Zea mays: one gene and its partners. The main gene of each other region encodes a partner of the protein of the gene in region 3 in a complex. Links are inferred from orthologs where the notes say so. Each region holds a gene or a part of one and is shown on either strand. Other genes may lie near its edges.

Region 1 (3,672 bases), on a different chromosome or scaffold from region 3:
TCCAAGATAATTATTGCATGTATGACATTGCATAACTTCATTAGAGACAGTGCTCTACACGATAGAGACTTTGATGAACTAGGACCTAATAGCCTTGGTCATGATGTATCTGTAGGTGAGAGTAGTAGTATCACATCTGATGAGTTAGACATGAGTGCATTTCGAGATGCAATTGCTAATGCATTAGTGCCGTAGTTAAATATGTAAATGTAACAGTAGTTATGTTGTAATGAACTCCACTAATTATATGTAATGACCTTTTGTTGGTTCGGTGTTAATGTGTATAGTTTCTTCAAACAGAATCTGCAATCTGAGAATCTGTGTATCCAAACACCTAGATTCTAACGAACAGCTTTTCCGCACAGCTGGCGAACCAAACACCTAAATTCTAACCACCAGCTTTTCAGAAAAGCTATTCAGAAAAAAGCCGAACCAAACACGCCCTACGTGGAGTGGTCTAGGAAGTTGGAATAGACCCCCACTGTGACTCTAAAGCACAACTACCCCACAAAAAGTACAAGTAGAACATATCCATTTATCTAAACAACACATGTAAATATGACCTTTATAGATCATGTGGTCTTACAATTAAGGAAGAAAAAGTGTAACAAGGGCTGTGAAAAAGAGAAACACCACACAGGAAACTTATCAGCAGTCCGCGCTGACCTCAGAGTTTTCATCAACAGCAGCTAGTACCAACTGAGGCTCAGCGGCGCCCTCCGCTCTCGCCTTCTTCCGTTCACGCCGCATGCGGAAGTACTCTCTCTTCCTTGCTCTGTAACTGTTTGGGTTTTCAGGCTCCTTCTCATATGGGTAAACACTAACCTATGAAAGGAGAGGTAGTGAGATGAGCATATATCTGGTGTGCAACCAGATCTCAGTCAGATGCAAGTAAAAGCAGATTTCAGTATGTAGTAACTAAGATACAGCTAACCTTTTTCTTGTCCGGCCCATACTTCTCAAACTTGACGAGTCCATCTATCAAAGAAAAGAGTGTGTGATCCTTGCCCATTCCAACGTTATTTCCAGGATAGACCTGAAATGTCCAAAAGATTTTATTTTAAGAAAAAACTTAAAAACGGCAAGGAACAGACAGACCACAAAACGGGGACCAAAACGAACTCTATACAAGGGACACGATGGTATAAACCATGTAGTATCCATAATATATAAACATCTTAAATATTTGAAGCGCGCTGGTAAGTAGGACGGACCAACCAAATCGTAAGACATGTAAGTTCATGAAATATCTTTTACAAGGATTGACCGACCATCTTACAGTATGCCTAATATTGAACAGCTATGTCTGACCATGTGTGCAGAGTAAGGTGGGTGTTTAGTTCAAAATTTGTTGGATTATATAACCTGGGCAGATTATAATCCCAAACAAACACCCCCCTAAGTCACCACCAGTTGGCTCCATAGGGCATTGAGGTTAGTACGTTACATTCCCCAGCGAGGTTTGTGTGTGCACTTTCCCCTCCCGTTATCTGATGTATGCAAGAAACTGCAATCTTTTCTTTCCTGCTTTTGCAGAGTGGTAAACTATGGAAAATGCAGATATGCACAATGGCAGCATACATTCCAACGTAACATGTGCAATGGCAAGCATTCTAGGTACATCGTAAGATTCTAGCATTCGCAGTCCGTAATCCGTATGAAGGTACTGGTCGGTGGTTAATATGCTTAACCTGCATCAGCAGCAGCAGCAGCAGGTGAGCAGCAAGCAAACGCTAGGCAGAGAGAGCTATGTCGCCCAGCAGAGCCAGTCAACGAGGTACCATAATCCACGCAAGCAAGAGCCTAGGCTGTCTTACTAACCCAAAGCAAACCAGTAACAGGTAAGGGAAGCGAAGGGAGCAAGAGGGGGGCAGGACCCTGGTGCCGCGCTGGCGGATGATGATGGCCCCGGGCTTGGCGAGCTGGTCGCCGTATATCTTGACCCCGAGGCGCTGGCCCTTGGAGTCGCGGCCGTTCTTGGTGCTCCCGGCCCCCTTCTTGTGCGCCATCTGGATGGTGAGCCGCCGCGCCGGCACCGGCACCGGCACGCCCGCTGCGCCGCCGACGGAGAGCGAGGCGCGGTCGCAGCGCGGGAAGGAGGAGGTGGTGGTGGTGGGCGCCAGGGAGAGGCCCTTGAAGGCCCCCGCCAGGGCGAACGCCATGGAGGCCATGGGCCGCTGGAGCGGAGGGAGGCAACGTGGCAGCTTGGGAAGAAGACGGGGGAAGAGAGCAGATGAGGCGGTGAGGTACAGAGGTGTGGGCGCTGGTGATAACGGAGTGGAGAAGGGATGCAGTCGGGAGACGTGGGCTCGTTCGTGGTTGGCCCAGTGTTTTGGGTCCTGGAGTTTTTGGGCCTTACTTGCAGATGGGCCTCGTGGTGCTTGCAGAGTGTCTGGCCGAATTGGAAGGGAGGGAAATGGTGTTATGCTCCTGGCCGGTTTTGGTCCTTGTAGTTTTAGGCAAGGCAACACAGGATTCACGAAGGAATCATTCAGGGGGAAAACAAAATGATCAGTGTGGTGGTGTTTGGTTCATGATATGTAACGTAAGTGGTAACGATAATGATTCACATTCAAGTACCAACGATAATAAGTCTGAATAGGCTCAGTTAGAGTTAAACAAACATGATATGTGAACCAAAAGGGCATCATCTTGTTCCTCCCTCCGGAGCTGCACAGAGAGACGCTGAATGGCCACAGCTAGCTAGCGTCGGCACGTGGGGAGATAGCCGGGGAAGCTAGCTAGAGTGACAGGCAGGCTTGTTGTGGAGCAAGAGCAAGAGCAAGAGAAGCAGTAGGCATGATGATGGGCTTGACCGGCGGCAACGGCAAAGCTGGAGCCGGAAGAAGAGGAGACGACCGACACATGGCATGATTAGGATCCTTGACGAAAGCGCGGGAGATGCAGAGCGTTTGGGGGTCCAAGTTAATCATGGCCCAGACCAGACCACACAAGCAAACAGGGCCCTACCACCACCACCACCACCCACTAATAATCTCGTGTTCTCCAGAGTCCAGACGCTCCATCCGCTCACTCGCTGCAGTTTGCACTGTTTACTCCTCCGTCTCCGTGTGCGTTAGATTTCCGGCGGCACTAGGGATGCCAGAAATTTCAAAGAGGCAGCAGCGCACGGCGCTCACAGGCTGCTGCTACTACTTGTACTAGCAGCAGTCACCGCACCGCACGCACCGTCAGCAGGGGGACGGAGAGATGACATTGACCGCCGGCGATCATTGCCTCGTCTGACGATTCGCCGGCGACACCCACACCCGCACCCCACCCCGGCCGGACCCGACCGACACAACGCATTTCCTCTATCTTTTTCCCACTCTTGTTTATTTGTGACAAATTATAGCGTGCTTGCGGTTGTAAAATGTTAGTCCATATCGATCTTTGCCACTGCACGGTGAATAGTTTGGAACTGAAAAGGACACGAAAAGGCCAAGCAAGCAGGCAGGCTGGGTCTAAACGAGAATGATGGGGAGGGTTAGATAAAACCCAAGATCATATCAGCCGTGACTGTAAAAAAAGAGAAGGATTGAGAGAGAGAGAGAGAGACGCCGCGACCGACCGGCCATGATGGTGATTGGTGAATGTGAATGTGAATGTGATCCCTTCCCCATGAGTGACAGGTTTTGGTACCTTTTTTTCTTCTGGAACTGCCGTTGCTCC
Region 2 (2,407 bases), on a different chromosome or scaffold from region 3:
ACCCGCGGATATCAAATTCCACCATACTCATATCCAATGGATAATTATCCGCGGTTATTTACCCATACCCGTATCCATTGCCATCCCTAGGTAGGCAGGTAGCATATGGAATTCGCACAATCATGCTCCAACAAAAGCAACATTACAAACAACTAGGTTACTTCTAAAATTTCCTATCATTTGCAGTGTTCAATGGCTGTTCCTGCCATCTAAGCTGAGTTTACTGTTTACCGAACCTTCCCCAATATCAGGCAATTGTCCAAATCAAACAGAGCCAGCTCCTAAAGTCAAACAAGAGGCAGATGTCTTCGTTGGGCTGCTTGTTTTCCCCCCCTTTTGAAGACTATATTTGCGTAATCCATATCCCATCATAACTTAACTGGCAAACTATGGAGATGGAGTAGCTAATCACTCTGCAGTCTGCACTGCCACTGACGGCATGGAATAAGCGTTGCACACAGCATGCAACCAAGAAATCATCTAGCAACGCACTAAATTGGACGCGGTGACAGCCACAATCTGGACAGCAATGAAAGATTCTTAATTTATAATCACAAAATCTGGGCAGCCATTGTTATTATATAATAAATCTCAAAGAAAAACAGCTTATGCGGAGGTTCAAGGGAACAACTTTGGCGACACGCCGCGGCGGCCTCAGTCGGTGGCCGCGGCCACGTCGAGGACGAGAGTCGCGGCGGGTGCCGGGGCCTCCGCCTCCTCCACGTCCACCGTGGCGCCGGAGGCGACGAGCGTCCAGTCCGGCGGGAGCGGCGGCAGCGGCGGGTACTGCGTGGGGCGGCGCTTGATGTCCCACGGCTGCGTCTTCTTGGGCCGCGTCTTCATGTGGTGCTTGGTCCCCTTCTTCTGCGGCCGCGACGAGCACTCCACCGCCAGCGCCGCGCGCCCGCCGCCGTGGAGCGGGGAGAAGCCGACGGAGTAATGGCGGGCGTGCCTCGCTGGCGACGGGGCCGAGGCCGGCGGCACCACCGTGCCCGCCAGGAGTGCGGTGACAGGCGACATGCTCGCTGGTGCTGCGCTTTCGAGAGAGGCGGACGGGTAGGGTAGTAGTGTGGGTTGTGTTTGGGATAAGATGGGAGGAGGACTGTTTCGGATTGGGTTTTGTGATTGCGGGATTTGCTACGCTGAGCGAAATCTGGCCCACACTATGTGCGATCATCTGACCGCTCACTCATCGAGTGTTTTTCCTTTTTTATATCTCCACTTCTTTTAAAAAAAACTTGTAATTGTTTAGTCCCCTGCCCTCTTCTTATCATAAAATGCCATGTCACCTTTTTATATTATAAAATTCCGTGGTCTAAGATGTGCCGTTGATGAAGCTTCAACAAAACAAAATGAGGCTCACGGGTACATAATATATTTCTTTTGGTACAACGATCAGTTGTCTCCCGAATTTTGTTGAAAAATGTTTCGGCACAACTAGCTTGTACTTCTAAAGCTATCTCTAACTCATCTAGAGATGTTAATGGAGAATTCTCCATCGGGTTATAGCATCCCAAACTCATTCCTATCATATTTAGTCCATCCTCATACCCATTATGGGTGCAAAATTCATCTCATACTCATCCTCATTCGGGTTTTGGGTCCCCAATGGGTCCCCATCTCCAATTAACGCATGTTCAGGCACACCAATCCAGAAGGCGATTGGAGGGTATTAAATCCCCTCCTAGTCAATGGGAACCTCAAATCCCCATTGGGATTGGAGGGGATTGAGGTAGAAATAAACTAATTTTCTCTTCAATCCCCTTCAATCTTGAAGGGATTTGAGTTTCCAAACTAACCCTTAGTGCTACTTTGGGAACCTCAAATCCCCTTCAGGGTTGGAGGGGATTGGGGTGGAAATGAACTAATTTCCTCTCCAATCCCCTTCAATCCCGAAGAGGATGTGAGTTTCCAAACTAGCCAATAAGGGCTGATTTGGTGACCAGAGATTACGGCGGGATTTGAGAGAATTGAGGGGGAAATTAGTTCATTTCCCCTTCAATCCCCTCCAATCCTCCCGTGATCACCTTGTCACCAAATCAACCGAGTTGATTTGGTGACAAGGTGATCACGGGAGGATTGGAGGGGATTGAGGGGGAAATAAACTAATTTTCCCCTCAATCCCCTTCAATCCTCCCGGGATCCCGGGTCACCAAATCAGCCCTAAGAGGGGATTTAAACCCCTCCAATCCCCTTCTGGATTCGTGTAACCGAACAAGCCCTTAAGGGATAACTAGGTACTAACATGTAACACAAACTATCTAGATTTCAGACATCACCACATCGGCAAGTACTCATTAATGAACCATCATCCATTCATCCATCCATCAGAAAAGAAATAAGTACTTCAGGACCGATAGAAGAAATAGAGAAATGGAGTCTGCTCACATTTCTTGGTCACCATCTG
Region 3 (3,511 bases):
CATTTGATGATAGAGGTCGATGCTTGTGTTGTGTCATTGTTTCGGGAGATGAAATAGAATGTACAAGGGAAATGTATTACTTGCAGAGCATCTCATTTCACCAATCAAAGGTTGTGTAGAATTGTGCATAATCTGGTTTAAAATAGATGGTCGTACTATTAAGATAGTCAACATTGTTTCCATATCTGTCATCTAGAGCCACTTGAGTGATCTAACTTTGCATATGTTGCTAGGATCAAGTGGTGGATAAAGTTTGAGATAAAAAACCTTTGAAAATGCTAACTAAGTCTTAAAGGTGTTGATCATCACGTGGGAAATCATTTGGAGTTAACTTTCTTTGTAAAAAAAGGTTTTCGATATTCTCCTAACCAAGGGTTGTGTCTTTGGATTTGAATTCTGGATTAGTCCATTTTGTTCTGAATCAATTATTAAAGTGGCTATCGTAGCCCTTTAAATAAAATTTCCGAAATGTCTAATATCATCGAAGTCAGAGTTTGGATGAAGAAGTTATGAACATTTTTAGTTGAGCCGGTGTGTCTTGCTCAGTAATAAGCATATGCTAAAAGCAAGAGAAGAGTACATCGCAAAGAAATTCTATGCAGAGCCGCTATCAGATTCACCAGCACCAGCTTTTTTCTTGGCAAAGTACTCTTCTGCTCGGGCTTGGTTCTTTAGATAATTTTGTGGAAGCCATTTCTTTCGTTTAGGTAACAGAGTTAGGGAACAACCAGCTGCCTCAAGCTTCTCTTTAGCTGAAGCTGAAAACGCTCCAGCCTTGATATTCAACTTAACTGATACATCCCCATCTCCTAAGATCTACAAACAGGTGAACAACAAGTGATCATGAAGGTAAGACAAAATATGATTGCAAAAACTAACAGGTGGCACATGCCACTTCATGTTTATGTTAGCAGATATGGAAGTTTGTAGTTACTCTAGAATATATTGTAAATCCAATGAACAACCTATGGGAACATTGCCAAATTGTACAAACAAAGCTATTCAACACTTCAAGTGGTGCTCATCTAACAGAAACAACCAAAAAAACTCGATCCCGTATTGCATGTTCTAATAGATGACTCTAACTCAAGTGGATAAACTTGGTACCTAACATTATCACAGGCTAATTCAGAATCGATACAACAACCTATAAGAAGTAAAAAAGTAAGAATACTGGCCACTCAATCTAACGACAAATCACTAAACACTTCGATTCTTGCTTCAAATCTGGGGTACAATAAGGTTGCCTTAAAGAGAACATGTCCTCACTGGCCAAGACCTAAGCCAAACCCTTGAATATGAAGTCATTCATATTTTCGAACGTGTCAAGTTCTATGTCACAAATACCAGTCCACAAAACAAGTTTTATTGAAACAACCAAAGGTTAATCATCAAAAGATTTACCTTCAGCGGCAGCTTCCTTTCCCTGCCTGATGGATTGATCAGACCCCGTGATTTCAGGCTTTCCAGTGATATTTCGTCACCATCTTTGAATCCGCCGCGCACTATGTCTTTTAAATTGAATGGCACATACTTCGGCAGGCCAATGTGCATCCCTGAAAAGCCATGGTGGAACTCACATCAGGCAACTTCTCAATCACTTGCATTTCTGCATTCCTTGTAACCTTGATGGGCTCTCACGAGTAACAACACAATGCATAGTTCAATTAGTTATGCGCCAGCCTGGTGTGAATTTAATCACGGATGGGCAATGCCGAAGTGGGGGTGTGAGACAAGCATCTGTCTGAACTAGAGCTTAGCGAGTTGCTTCGATTGAGTGCATTAGGGGAAGCTTCGGTTTAACTGAAGCAACTCACCGCCGGCAATGCCCCGTAGCTTGGGGAGACGGCGGTAGAGCGGCATCTGCCCTCCCTCGAACCCGCGCCGGACGCCGGGCCCCGAGCGCGATTTCTGCCCGCGCATACCGAACCCGCAGCTCGCGCCCTGGCCTGCAGCAATACCGCGTCCCTTACGCTTGGGCCGCCGGCGGGACCCCTTCTGGGGCCCCAAATTGTCGAGCCGGAACTTCTCCACTGGCGCTGCGGCGTCCGAGGCCTCGGCTGCCGCCGCGGCGCTGCTGCAGACGACGGTGACGCGACGGGGCGGGAGCGCGCGGAGCGGGAGGGCGCGGGGCGCGGCCCAGCGGCCGGCTAGGATTCCGGGACCAACGACGGAGGAGGAGGTGAAAGCCGGGATGTGGAGGAAGATGGCGGTGGGAGCGAGGGAGAGGAGGGTGATGGAAGCCATGACTGCCGTTGGAAGGGCTTGCGAATTGCGATTGTGGATAGAAGCGGATAATTGGGGTTTGGGAACGAGATAAGATGGAGACGATGGGCCTCTTCCACTCTTTATTTGGGCCTGTTTTTCAAACAGCCGTGGCCCATTCATGTCAATAATAATAATATACTCGAAAGTTGTATATAAAGAAGAAAAAATCGGTATTTTTCTGAATAGAAGATAGAACTATATCAAAACTTTGATACATTATATTCTCTAACGCTTAGACAAACATAGTTAGCAACTAAAATAATTGAGTAAGGGATAGAACCATACCTTTTTCACATCTTTTCAAAAAGATTTGCAATATGCACAAACTTAAGCAAAAAACTCTGTCCGGCAACCAAACACATCCTTAATTGCTAGAATGTGGGTAGAATAAGTTATTCAAGCAATGTTCAAAAAAGCGCGATTAAGCGCCCGCCTAATCACGATTAGACGCTAAGCGGCATGTTAGCGCTGCGCTTAGGCCCTAGGCGGTGGTTTCCGCGGTGGGCGCGTGTAGGCGGCGCGTGATTTGCGCTATGCGCGCTGAGGCGGAAAGGAGGCGTGTGGAAGCGGGGTTCGGCGCGCGGGGAAAAGGTGAGCACGGAAGCTGCTGCGCGGGAATAGAAAAAAGCTGCTGCGCGGGAATAGAAAGTGAATAGGAGGGAAAGAGGTGGGAGCTGCTGTTGCCCGGGAGAGAGTGAAACAGGCTGGGAGCTGCAGCTGCTGTTGCATGGAAGAGGAGGAAAACAGGGCCGCTGCCAGACTGGTCCTCTTCCCCAGCTGTCCAGGGCCGCCACCGTCGGTTCCTCTTCTCCTTCTGGTCAAGTCGTCCAGGCCACCGGGGTCAGCGCCTCTCTGCTCCTTTTCCCTAGCTATCCAGGCGTGCTCTCCCTCTCCCTCTGCTCTTGCTCTGCTCCTCCATCTCTTCTGTTCTATACTTTTATTCATTATTCCAGGTAAGTACCCCTAATTCCTAGCTAAAACTGTTTTTTCTGTGCAAATATATATATTATATTGTATATTCCTACAAACGCTTAAGCACGATTAATCTACGCCTAAGCTCTCTAGGCGCTAAACAGTGGCCTAACGCCCGCCTAACGCCTAGCGCTTATTGTAACCTTGTATTCAAGTACTTGATGCAGAATTTGAGGGGAGCACACATATCTTGTGTTATTTGAGACTAATGTTTTCTTTAGTGATCTTACATAATCTCAAGGTGGATAGGAGGATTGAGCAAGCTACAAGG

Evidence for each region. Proteins that work in one complex are often made in the same cells at the same time.
Region 1: 50S ribosomal protein L15, chloroplastic-like precursor (region 3) and 50S ribosomal protein L27, chloroplastic share a complex: the UniProt entries of both Arabidopsis thaliana proteins name them as parts of the 50S ribosomal subunit. The link is inferred for Zea mays from reciprocal best matches to the Arabidopsis thaliana genes RPL15 and RPL27.
Region 2: 50S ribosomal protein L15, chloroplastic-like precursor (region 3) and 50S ribosomal protein 6, chloroplastic-like share a complex: the UniProt entries of both Arabidopsis thaliana proteins name them as parts of the 50S ribosomal subunit. The link is inferred for Zea mays from reciprocal best matches to the Arabidopsis thaliana genes RPL15 and PSRP6.

The regions. Positions count from the first base shown.
Region 1 is NC_050103.1:167,360,481-167,364,152, forward strand, and holds 50S ribosomal protein L27, chloroplastic, read right to left. Parts: upstream 2,234-3,672; 5' UTR 2,172-2,233; coding exon 1,878-2,171; intron 1,037-1,877; coding exon 935-1,036; intron 826-934; coding exon 649-825; 3' UTR 521-648; downstream 1-520.
Region 2 is NC_050099.1:216,898,344-216,900,750, forward strand, and holds 50S ribosomal protein 6, chloroplastic-like, read right to left. Parts: upstream 1,093-2,407; 5' UTR 1,021-1,092; coding exon 655-1,020; 3' UTR 521-654; downstream 1-520.
Region 3 is NC_050096.1:27,447,236-27,450,746, reverse strand, and holds 50S ribosomal protein L15, chloroplastic-like precursor, read right to left. Parts: upstream 2,249-3,511; 5' UTR 2,248-2,248; coding exon 1,818-2,247; intron 1,557-1,817; coding exon 1,405-1,556; intron 817-1,404; coding exon 595-816; 3' UTR 510-594; downstream 1-509.